Linked DNA regions of Oryctolagus cuniculus. The protein of the gene in region 2 purifies or fractionates together with the protein of the main gene of each other region. This does not show direct contact. Links are inferred from orthologs where the notes say so. Each region holds a gene or a part of one and is shown on either strand. Other genes may lie near its edges.

Evidence for each region.
Region 1: the proteins of ING3 (region 2) and ACTL6A purify together in Homo sapiens (affinity purification with western blotting; 3 studies listed by BioGRID and IntAct, with this or other methods). This does not show direct contact. The link is inferred for Oryctolagus cuniculus from reciprocal best matches to the Homo sapiens genes ING3 and ACTL6A.
Region 3: the proteins of ING3 (region 2) and EPC2 purify together in Homo sapiens (affinity purification with mass spectrometry; 3 studies listed by BioGRID and IntAct, with this or other methods). This does not show direct contact. The link is inferred for Oryctolagus cuniculus from reciprocal best matches to the Homo sapiens genes ING3 and EPC2.

The regions. Positions count from the first base shown.
Region 1 is NC_091435.1:100,246,935-100,251,203, forward strand, and holds the start of ACTL6A (actin-like protein 6A), read right to left. Parts: upstream 2,871-4,269; 5' UTR 2,685-2,870; coding exon 2,660-2,684; intron 1-2,659.
Region 2 is NC_091434.1:156,954,712-156,958,362, reverse strand, and holds part of ING3 (inhibitor of growth protein 3), read right to left. Parts: intron 2,480-3,651; coding exon 2,408-2,479; intron 1,579-2,407; coding exon 1,459-1,578; intron 1,173-1,458; coding exon 1,015-1,172; intron 445-1,014; coding exon 251-444; intron 1-250. UniProt on the Homo sapiens protein: Component of the NuA4 histone acetyltransferase (HAT) complex which is involved in transcriptional activation of select genes principally by acetylation of nucleosomal histones H4 and H2A.
Region 3 is NC_091434.1:93,444,189-93,447,839, forward strand, and holds part of EPC2 (enhancer of polycomb homolog 2), read right to left. Parts: intron 918-3,651; coding exon 781-917; intron 1-780. UniProt on the Homo sapiens protein: May play a role in transcription or DNA repair.

The DNA.
Region 1 (4,269 bases), on a different chromosome or scaffold from region 2:
ATCCCATATGGGTGCCGGTTCGAGACGCGGCTGCTCCACTTCCTATCCAGCTCTCTGCTATGGCCTGAGAAAGCAGTAGAAGATGGCCCAAGTCCTTGGGCCCCTGCACCCATGTCAGAAACCTGGAAGAAGCTCCTGCTTTCCCAGGCCACAGCAGAGAGCTGGATCAGAAATGGAGCAGCCAGGACTCGAACCGGCACCCACATGGGATGCCGGCACTGCAGGCGGTGGCTTTACTCACTATGCCACAGCACCGGCCCAATTACTCAACATTTTTAAGTGAATGGTTTGGTTGCTTTTAACACTAAATTCCTTGGAAAAATATGATCCACTATAAACACAAAATCATACTTACTTTTGTGAATTCTAAGTACTTTCTACATGAAAGACTTTAAAACATCAGAGTACTTCAAAAAGTTCATGGAAAATGAATTAAAAACTAAGTATTTTGGTGCAAAAATTTTTGAAATCCATGTTTTTTCATAAGCTTTCTTGATTAAATTCCAAAAATGTTCACACTAAAATAAACATTCAACTCCATTTTCCATAAACTTTCTGAATAATCCTTACACTCCTCTGAATAAGCTAGCAAGAAGTGGTTTTATTCTGAACACCTAAGTCATACATGGTAATACTATGGTTGTATAACTGAAACATGACACACAGAGAAATAACCAAAGAAATGGCTTTTTTAAAGGAGTAGGGAAGGGCTTGGCTGAAATGCCCTTTATTTCAGAGATTTTTGCTCTCAACTCCCTAGATAATTATGACTTTGGGCTGATTTTTAACCTTTCCTATCTTTACATCATTTTCTTCAGTAACACAGGGATAATAATACCATCTTACATGGTGGTTGTAGATTATAGGAGTTACTGCATGGATTAAAAATAATGCACATAAAACCTTTGGAATACTCTTGGTCTCCAGTACGCACCTAATAAATGCTAGCTGCTAGCATTAGTATTATCCCATTCCTACCAGTCATACTAAACAATGCCTTGTAAGGAATACTGGACAGCCTCCGGATCCTTGATTCAATGAACCTGGAGCTCCTAAGAGTCTAGACTCAGTTTCTCTGGAGTCAAGACTGAATCTTCAGATGGGGAAGAGGTGAATTAACAAGATCCAAAGTAAAAATAAGAAAATCAAGGACACAAAATAGGAAGGAGGAGGCAACAGGCTCAGCATGCTGCCTCAGAGAAGACTCTGAAACTACACCACCAAAAATACTAAGAACTTAGAAAAGTTACCTATCCCTTTACCTGCGGAATGCCATCCTCTTCAGAAAGAGAATCCTTACTAAAACAGTAGCAGTAGCAAGCACATAGTCCCTCAGTGTTTGCAGCGGATTGGTTACAGGACCCTACCCCCATACACCAAAATCCTTGGATACTCAAGTCGACTATATAAACCGATGTAGCATTTGCCTATAACCTGTGGCACAGACTACTGGATACTTTAAGTAGGTGTTCTCTATGTTACTTATAATCCCTAGTACAATGTAAACACTATGTAAACAGCTGTTATACTTTAGGGAATAACAAGAAACAAAATCTGCACATGTTCAATACAGATGCAATTTTTTCTGAATACTTCTGGTCCACAGTTAGTGGGATCCACAGATGTGGAGCCCACAGTTACTCAAGGCTGACTGTATTTCGGATTTGTCTTTTGGGTCTCTAACTCAAACACACCCCAAAATGTGAATCCAACAGTGAGTGCTCCAATTGTCTGGGGCATCTTTCAAAAATGGAAGCCCTGACTCTGTAGAACGGAGGGTGGGCCTTGAGATTCTTTCTAAACAGCTTGCAGGTGATGCTGATATTGCCGCTCCACGGACTTCAATTGGAGCAGCAGGTGTAGCTTCATGTCGGTCCATCTTGGCAGCCACCCTCGTTGGCTAAGGAATTCCCATCCCACGAGCGAGCGGCGCAAAGTCGGGGAAAGTAAACTGCCCAAGGCCAAGGCGCTGAGAAGTTTGACGATGCCCACAGCCCGTGGTAATCTTTGTACCACAACACAGTCTACTCAAGAAAAGCCAGAGAACAGACGCCCGGGACCTCAGGCAAAGCTTCCGGGCGTCCTTAAATTGCATGTGTCTCTAGATTCATCCCAACCAGGCCCTCCCACGAGTAACTCCGCAGACTCCACGGTCAAGAATGGGCAGGAGCTGCTGAGGAACGTGAGGCAGCGCGAGCGCAGGGCGCAGACCGAGGCGGCCGCCCCCTCTCCCCTCGGTCCACCTCTCGCGGCCGCTCTGCCTTCTATGGGACGTTGCGGACACCCTCCGTCCGCGCTCGCCAACTGCTGGGGGCCTCCCAGGTTAAACGCAGACGCAAGCCCCACACGGGCGAATTTTGCAGACACACGCGGGGCTGCCACCCCGAGGCGAGACACTCCAGCCGGGGCGCCGCGGGCCGGCCCGCTGGAAGCAGCACGCGCGACCCCAAAAGCCCAGCTCCTCCGGCGCCCGAGGCGCACGCTGAGCCGGGTGGGCTCCGGGGGCGGGCAGAGCGCGGGGCGGGGATGGGGCGGGGAGGCCGGGGTCCCGAGAGGGGGAGACCGGAAGGGACCGCCGGGTAGGGGAGGGCTGGGGGCGGCGGTTACAAACCCCACACGCCAAAAAGGCGCGCTCTCTGGCCGGGCCGCCTTCACTCACCTCCCCCGTACACGCCGCCGCTCATGGCTGCCGTCGGCTTGATTCCTGGGCGAAAAGGTGCCGGGCGAAGTGACTACAGCGGCCGCCACACGCGCTGGCCCCCGACCCCCTTAACTTCCACCGCCACCCCCCTCCGGCAACAAAGCGGCGTCCACACACCCGAGAGCTCAGCCACACTTGCTGGCTCCCCTTAGCAGCCAATCACGAGGAGGGAGGCCTACCTTTCAGCCAATCATAATGCGGCTTCGCTGCATCCCCGCCGCGGCTCCGCCAGTTTAGCCAATCGAAGGTGGCCATGGGGGCGGGGTTGGGCGGAAAGCGACGGAAGGAGGGCAGGAGTTGGGTTGCGGGACTCCAGGGGGCGGAGCTTGCAGGGTGGGCGGAGGGAGCGGGAGAGCCAGGCGTCGGGGGGCGGGCCCAGGGGTGTGACCAGGCGCCGAGGCGCGGTGGGAACCTGGGGCGGGAAGGGGCTCAGGAAAGAGGCTGGAAATGGGATAAAGTATGGAAATAGGATAAAGTGTCAACGAGCAGTAATTCCTGACCTTGCACTGCAGTGAATTTACGGATTTTTAAAGATTTTCCATAAAAAAAGCATTTTCAACCAACATTTGTTGAATAAAATTGTACTCCACTTTGTGTAGGGTCAACCAGTGAATCAAACAAATTAATAGGCTCCTGCAATTTTTTTTTTTTAATTTTTTGTTACAGAATTAAATGGCCCGTTTATTCACTTAGAAACCATTGTTAACCCCAGACACAGGCATTTCCCAATCACCAGCAGGTCCCTTGGCAAAGGAAAACGAACTCATATCCGAACTTCGGCAAGGAGGGAGCCTCACGGCGCGCAGTTCTTCGTGGAGGTCAAGGGCAAGTTGAGGGCTCAGCCGCCAGTCACACAGAGGAGCGGCGTTTGGCTTCTCAGCAGGGAGAGCGGTTCACCGGCAGACTCGGGCCTGCGTGCAGGCCTCTGGCAGGTTCTCCCCACAGATGCCACCCTCGGCCACTGCCTCACAACTGGGAACCCCAATATTGATAAAGCAAGCAGTCAACAGGCGGGCAGACAGGAGAGCCCCGTGACCACCTCGCCAGGTCACAAGCCGACTTAGATATACAATTCCAATGATCAAAAAAGGCCAGAGGTTACAAAATCAAAGCCGGAAGCCAGGAGTGAGGCATGAATGACGCCACTTCCTCTCTGAACCAGGAAACACTTGACTCAGCGGGGAGGTAACGGGCCAATGCCTTTCCCAGGTGTCCAGCGAGAGGCAGGGACGTGTCCTTGCCTGGCGTCAGCAAAGGCCGAAACAGCTGGCCTCTGCACGCCAGAACTCCCACCAGGGGAAGGATCCTGCAATTTTTTAAAATGCTTATTCATGGCTAAGACGTGATGCATTGTACCAACTACATTTAGATAGGTCATCCGTTTCTTTTATCTGGTGAGACAGGTATTGAACGAGCTAATCGATGCTCATTCAGGCAAGCATCTAAGCCTAAATACATCTCCAGTCTGTCTGCTCTGCTTAGTAGATGATTTCCACCAGCCAGGCCAGCCCACTGTCGTTCTCCCCTCGATTACTGCAACCACTTGTCACTGCCTCTTCACAGGCTGC
Region 2 (3,651 bases):
AATACAAATACACAAAAGTAGTAAATGAAAACTATGACTATCAAGCAACATGTGAATACTTACTGTGGATAGGACAGGGAACCAAGAGTGTTAAATTCCAAAACTGTTTGGCATCAAAATAAACACATCTTTTAATACCATTTTTCCATGAAGTCTGTGAAGTACCCTCATATGAGGAAGCCCAGCAGGGATGCCAAGTGGCCTGAGCACCCAGCAAAGGTACAGCAGGTGCAGTCACGTGCACACTTACTTGCTCTTCCGACCACTGCGCGAGTCGGCGGCTGATGAGCTGGCATTCTGTGTTAATGTTGTCATGAGTGCTGACGACGATGAATAGCCAGCTGTCTCCCTGGGCATTGAAAATTCTTTTCCCAGCTGAAAGTCATTATTCTTAAAAGCTTCATAACTGGCCTTTAAACTTGACGTTCTTCGTCCCTCTTTCATCTTCAATAGACATGCATTGATAGCATTAATATTATGTAAATGCATGGACTTTCAAGCTTTATAAGGTTCACTATCATTTTGGTTAATTCAGTATTTATTTTGCTTAAATTATTTTTTTTCGGTATTGGAATTTAAGCTATTTTATGGCAAGATTAAAATTAGTTTTTACACAGGTAGTAATTACCACATGGGTAACTTCTTAATTTGGAATTGAGATAAACTGTTCTGAGTAAACAGGACAACCTGTACCACTGCTAAAGAGAAAGCCTTGAACTGACAGAAAGAGCAAAGAATGACCCCCGCACGTACTGTGACTACAGTCAAGACATGGGCAACAGGAGTGATTACCAGATGAAGGGTCTGCATGATACATCTGTTCTGTACCATTCATTATCAACCAGGGGACTCCTACCTACTAGTCATTAAATAAAATGTCAGGTATCAATACAACGTTAAAATGAAATTATACAATGTCAGAAAACTACTGCTCATATCTAGTTCTTTCTACAAGGATCTGCCAATGATTGAAACAAACATAACATTTTATCTCTAAAACCTTTTATTTCTTACCTGAGCTGTAGCTTGCACTGCTTGTGCAGCTGCCATAGTAATTGCCCCCGCACCAGTTCCTGAGGATAATGAGCCGATGTTATAGGATGCCAGAGGCTGGGAGGAATTCACATTGAAAGCATTGTTGGAAGAGGCTGTGGAATTATTATTTCGACAACCTATGTAGAAATATAGAAAAAATGGTTGCAGACCATAACACATTAGTGAGTTTAAAATACATTATTTCCTAGCATAGATACAGTCATTAAACTTAAATTTTTGATGTACTATGAATTGAGTCAAATGAATAATGTATTATATTTTTCCTTCTTCTTTTTCCCAGGTAGACAATACACAGGTAAACAAACTGTGGTTTTTGAAGCCTAAACGTTTTCATTTCCCTTCAGTCTAACACACAAAAAAGCTCAATTAATCAAATAATCATCATTAAGGAAATAAACTTACCTAATGTGTTCTCCTTAGAGGCATCTGATGTAAGGGTGGATAGAAGAGCTTCAGATTTAAACTTCTTTTCAGGAATATGATCTGCTGTTGTATGGTGAGATGTTGGATTATATTTCCTTTCTGAACAAAAAATAAAAAATTCACATGTATAAATTTTAGAGAACTATGGACAAGGCATAATATTTCCAACCAGTTACAAACCAGTGAAGTTATAACCTGAGTTCTTCATGAAATTCAGACCATCACGTTTTCTCAGAAGAGAGGACAAGCAGAACTCTGTGTCACACGTAAGCACAGACATCTCAGACACTTTAAACACTTGCAGCAAAGGACTGAAGACAATCAATCCATGATGCCCCATGGCTTCACATAAAACACGAGGGGAATTCTGTTTTCAAAACATTATCTACTTTTGGAATAGTCTTCAATACCCTTTTTTCTATCAAACTGATTTGTCAAAAAAAAAAAGTATCATTACAGTCAGTCAACTGTCTAATCAGCCACCTGACAATTCCTTTAATCACTAACTCAGAGAGCACTTGAGATGTATTATATACCACACCTTCGGCTAAGCACCGAGAAGTCCAGGATGAAAAAGACACAAACTCCCACAAAATAGTTTACGGTCTGGCTCTGCTGTATCACTCCCTAGAGAGACTCAGACAGCTGGAGGCAGGCAGGGAGTATATGCTGCTGTTACTACCATACATTCTCCCTGCTATGAATTTCAGCATAAACAGTCGACCTGTTGCCAAACCAAACATGCTTTTCCCAAATGAAAAAGATACATCTGCCTGCAATTGAAAAGAAAAAAAATTCTTTCACAAAAATAAAAGGGAAAGGTATTTATTTCTCATTGAGTTATGCAGAGCTAATAACAGAGAATATCCAGGTGGTATAATGATTTTTTAATGGCACTTAAAACTTAACCGCACTCAACCAAACTTACTTTCCACTGGGGTATGTGAATGAGCGTGGTGATTGTTCACTGGCTGTGAAGGAGTATCTAATTCCAAAGATCCTAGAAAAAGAGGCACAGAGATACGCCAACATTAAATGTCACCACAGAAATCAACAAACTACAGGAAGTACACTCCCTGAGGCAGAAGACTGGCAAGCTCTGATGTCCATGCCCAGACCGAGTTAGTTAGACATGTCAGAGGGTCAGCTTTGCCAGTTCTACTCAGAGCTCTCCTCTCTAAACAATGAGAAATACATTTCTCCATATTCACCTTAAGCACAATATAGCTCATGGCATGCTAATATCTAATGTCGAATTAGGGAATTCAACAAAGTGAGTGCAAGAGAAATGGATGAATGGACATTATAAGCCCAGAACTGGCAAGATCTAAAAGACTCAGCCTACTTTAATTGTGTTGAAGAACTTTTAATGGGAGATCCTAAGTTCTAGGTGATAAGGTCATTGCTATATGGAAAAAAAAAAAAAACCTTGATCATTAAAATGACATATGATAGTAAAGACTTCCTAAAATAATTTAGGGATTTTGCTTGCAAAAAGTGAGAAATAGAATCTCTAACACCAGGCTTAAAATACTTGCAAAGACATTTTCTGGGTTTATTATTGATCCCTTGAGATGAAATTATGGCAGGGCACAGGGTGGAATGGTTTTTGTAACTTGGTCCAATTTAGTTTCATGTGTCTGTGTCCTTAGGATGCTTTATTAACCTTCCTGCAGTACTGAATAGGCATGAATCATCATATTCACAGCTATCATCAGTATTAAAAAAAAAATGAAAGCAGCTACAGAACACTTCATTTTGTCCCCAAATACTTATTAACCTCAGACAGGATTCCTCCAAGATAAAAGCACCACAAATAAATCAGATAATTATCTAAAGTGTTGGATCTACTTTTGCATTAAAAAATGTAACTAGCAAGAGGGATTTGTAACTGGCTTCTCTAGCTGACTAGTGAGTATATGAAGAGACACGTAGCCTAGCACTATAAAAAAACAAGATACATAATCTTGCTATTGAAAATCATCAAGGAAAAAAACCTTATAAATGCTTTAATATAAATTCTAGAAGAAATTATTCATAATATTTATTTGGTTCAATTAGTACTTAATGGGTTCCTACCCTAGGCCTAGCATCATACTGTCTGCTTTTATGTACATTATCTATTTAGGTTGGAAGAAATGCTAAATCTGTTAAAGAAACAGAGCTCATACC
Region 3 (3,651 bases), about 64 Mb from region 2:
ACGTCACAGTCACTGAAGTTTTCATGGTGCTGGACTCAGGATCTTCAAGGAAGGTGTATTCACTCTACAAATTAAATGGCTTGAGCTCTCAGAATATAGCTAAGATTGAGTTAAGCTCAGTCACTACTTTACAAGTATTTCCAGTATTATTGAAAAACAAAACTGAAGACCTACAATGCAAGGTTTGTTTATCTTTTTCAGGTGATTCAAACGTGAAACAGATTCAGTTTTGTTTTTAGGGGCATAAGACAACAGAAATTTATTCTATAAAGCTCTGGAGGCCCAAGTCCACAGCGAGTCTTACACGAATAATATAAAGGTGGTGGCAGAGCTAGATCCTTCTGGCAACTGGGTGCTATGTAGTGTTTTTATTCTTATCCCTAGTATCATGTCTTCATTTAATGGTGTCTATGGACAACTTCCTCTAGTGGTAATTATTTTCTACAGGGAAATGTGATTCACTGTTTATAATAGTTTAGGAAGGTGATAGGCAAGGTATATCTTTGAACAAAATCTTTTTTAGGGAAATGGAGGTAAGAGATGATGGTTTTAACAAAATATAATTAGACACATACTCAATAACCTTGCCCCCAAAAGCAGTTAATAGTCAGAGATTACTCTAGGAAAATTAGTTATTTAAAATTACATAAATCAAAGAAATCCAGGTTAGATTCCCCAAATTAAGATATCAAGGTTATTACCTGCTCCTTGACTAAAACTGAGCAAAACTACACTATCACAAAAGAAAGGAACATAACCATGATTAAAAGACAGGCTCACCTGTGCTTTCGGATGTGTCTGTTGCGAGGAATGCTGAGATTGCTGTTTCTGCTGAAGCTGAGCAAGTTGCTGCCTTTGCATTTGAACTAACTGCTGTTGATGTGTCTGAAACTGCTCTTCTGTGATACCCCCTGTTACTGGTAAAGGACATTAATTTCAGAAATAAATATGTTTTAAAGTATTTTTAACAACTCTAGTAGAAAATGACAAACACTGCATAATTGACATGAAAAATAATGAAATACACATTATCAGCAAAGAACCCAAGAGACATGACAAATCTTTCATTTGTTATAAGCTTTCATATACTGATATCCAAGATGTCCTTACTATCACATGCTTTGGGGGCTGGTGTTATGGCGCAGTGGACGAGTCACTGCCTTTGACATCAGTGTCCCATAGGAGCACCAGTTCAAGTCCTGGCTGCTCCCCTTCTGGTCCAGCCACCTGCTAATGCACATGGGAAAGCAGCAGCAGATGGCCCAACTGCTTGGACCCTTGCCACCTACATGGGAGACCCAGATGGAGTTCCAGGATCCTGGTTTCAGCCTGGCCAAGTCTGTCTGTTGTGGCCATTTGAGGACTGAGGTAGCAGATGAGATATTTCTGTCTTTCATTCTACCTTTCAAATAAATGAATACACAAATCTTAAAAAAATAATTGCATGCTTAAAAAAGTTTCTGTATATGGTTTTATTGTACCATAAAGTACTACCATGAGGATTTTGTCATTCATTCAGACTTGATATCTTTGAGATTGCTCTTAATTCTGTATATTACAGTGACCACATGAGAAAAACATTGATTAAAATAAATAATATTATTAGGTTATAGCCTTAATAATAAAACAGGACCGCTGGTTTTCATGACAGTGAAAACACTTTTCTGATTACAAATTGGAGAGCAAAGATGTTCACTTAATATAACCATAGGCCATAGTTTAAGCCAAGTCAATGCCTGAAACAAATCCTATCTGTAAAAATATGAACTAGAATTCAGAAAAGTTTCATACAATTAAATATGCAATGCATACAACAACTATGTTGTTACCAAGGGCTTTAAAAGTTAATGGGAGGTAGAGGGTAGACATATGAACCAGAAGTTACGATGTGGTTTAAAACTCCCATGTCATATACATCAGAGTGTGTGGGTTCAAGATCCAGCTTCCCTCCTGACTCTAGCTTCTTAATAATGTGGACTTCAGAAGAAAACAGTGATGGCTCAAGTGACAGGATTCTTGACACCCACAGAGGAGACCTGCATTGAGTCTATGCCTCCTGGATCTGGCTCCAGTTGGGGAGCTATTGCAGTAATTTGAGGAGTGAACTAGCCAATGGGAGAACTTTAGAGAGAGAGTTCTCTCAAGTAAAAAAAGTTTTAAATAAAAATAACACATCTAAAATTTTCAATTAAAAGATCAGCTGGCCGGCGCCGCGGCTCACTAGGCTAATCCTCCGCCTTGCGGCGCCAGCACACCAGGTTCTAGTCCCGGTCGGGGCGCTGGATTCTGTCCCGGTTGCCCCTCTTCCAGGCCAGCTCTCTGCTGTGGCCAGGGAGTGCAGTGGAGGATGGCCCAAGTCCTTGGGCCCTGCACCCCATGGGAGACCAGGAGAAGTACCTGGCTCCTGCCGTCGGATCAGCGCGGTGTGCCGGCAGCAGCGCGCTGGCCGCGGCGGCCATTGGAGGGTGAACCAACGGCAAAAGGAAGACCTGTCTCTCTGTCTCTCTCTCACTGTCCACTCTGCCTGTCAAAAAATAAAATAAATAAATAAATTTAAAAAAAAAAGATCAGCTAATAATAGTTGTAATATGGAGAATTTCTCTTAAATATAAACAAAATTTATTTATCAATGTTTAAGTAGTCCACTGATAAGCTAATTACATAGAAGTACACTGTTAGAGTTAGGCAACAGTGAAACACTCCAGAGTAATTTTGTTCTATTTTTCTTTACCGTCTCCTTTCCTCTCTCCCAGCTACTTCACCCAATACATATTTATTGCCAACTATAATACAGAGGACTATGCCAAGAGTCCCAGTGAATACAGGAAAAAGTAAATCAAGAGGAAAATCCTGCAGTAGCTATGAAGCAAAGATACATGTAAAAACAATACCAAGTAATTTGTGTCAATCTCTACATGCAATGGAAGAATGCAATCTATATGACCTAAGGGAATTTATCCTAACTTAAGCTATTTGATTTCCCCAAATTTTTATATTTACTAGTCACAAATTAAAAAAAAAGTGATGATAAATTAGACATCTAACAAGTTATGTTTAGTATAGTCTATTTTCTGTGAAGTGTTGATTAACCCTCATAGATGAATAAAGCTTTATATATACTTCCATTTTTGCTCCACAACATTAAATTTGTATTACTATGACGGAAAAACAGTTCTTAATTTTCAGAAGTGTCAAAAAATATGGGGCTACTGTCTGCTGACTTTGATACCAAAAATTTGATCCCTGATCCCATTTCTGGCGGAGAACCACTGACACAAACTTTATTCTCTAACATGGATATACTTTTAAAACTCGTTTTCATTTTTTCTCTTCCCCAACAGCTCAAGTTCTGTATGTTATATTTATTCTTGACATGCAGCTCTTTCATTACTATAAAGGTATTTTGTGCTGAAAACAAGAAAATTTCTAGAGAATTGTTCAGCATTATTTCAAATCCTTTGACAAAAATAGCAAATAGTAATCATGGCACAAAACTGGAACACACACTAGAATATCCTTTCTGACTCCTTTATCATTGTGAGATGAAAACAAAGTGGTAAGAAATGTATGGTTTTACTGAATTGCTGTTTTCAGAGTTGACCTGCTGGCAAGTGGAGGGTGGAAATCTGACTGAAAGCACTTTCTCTATTA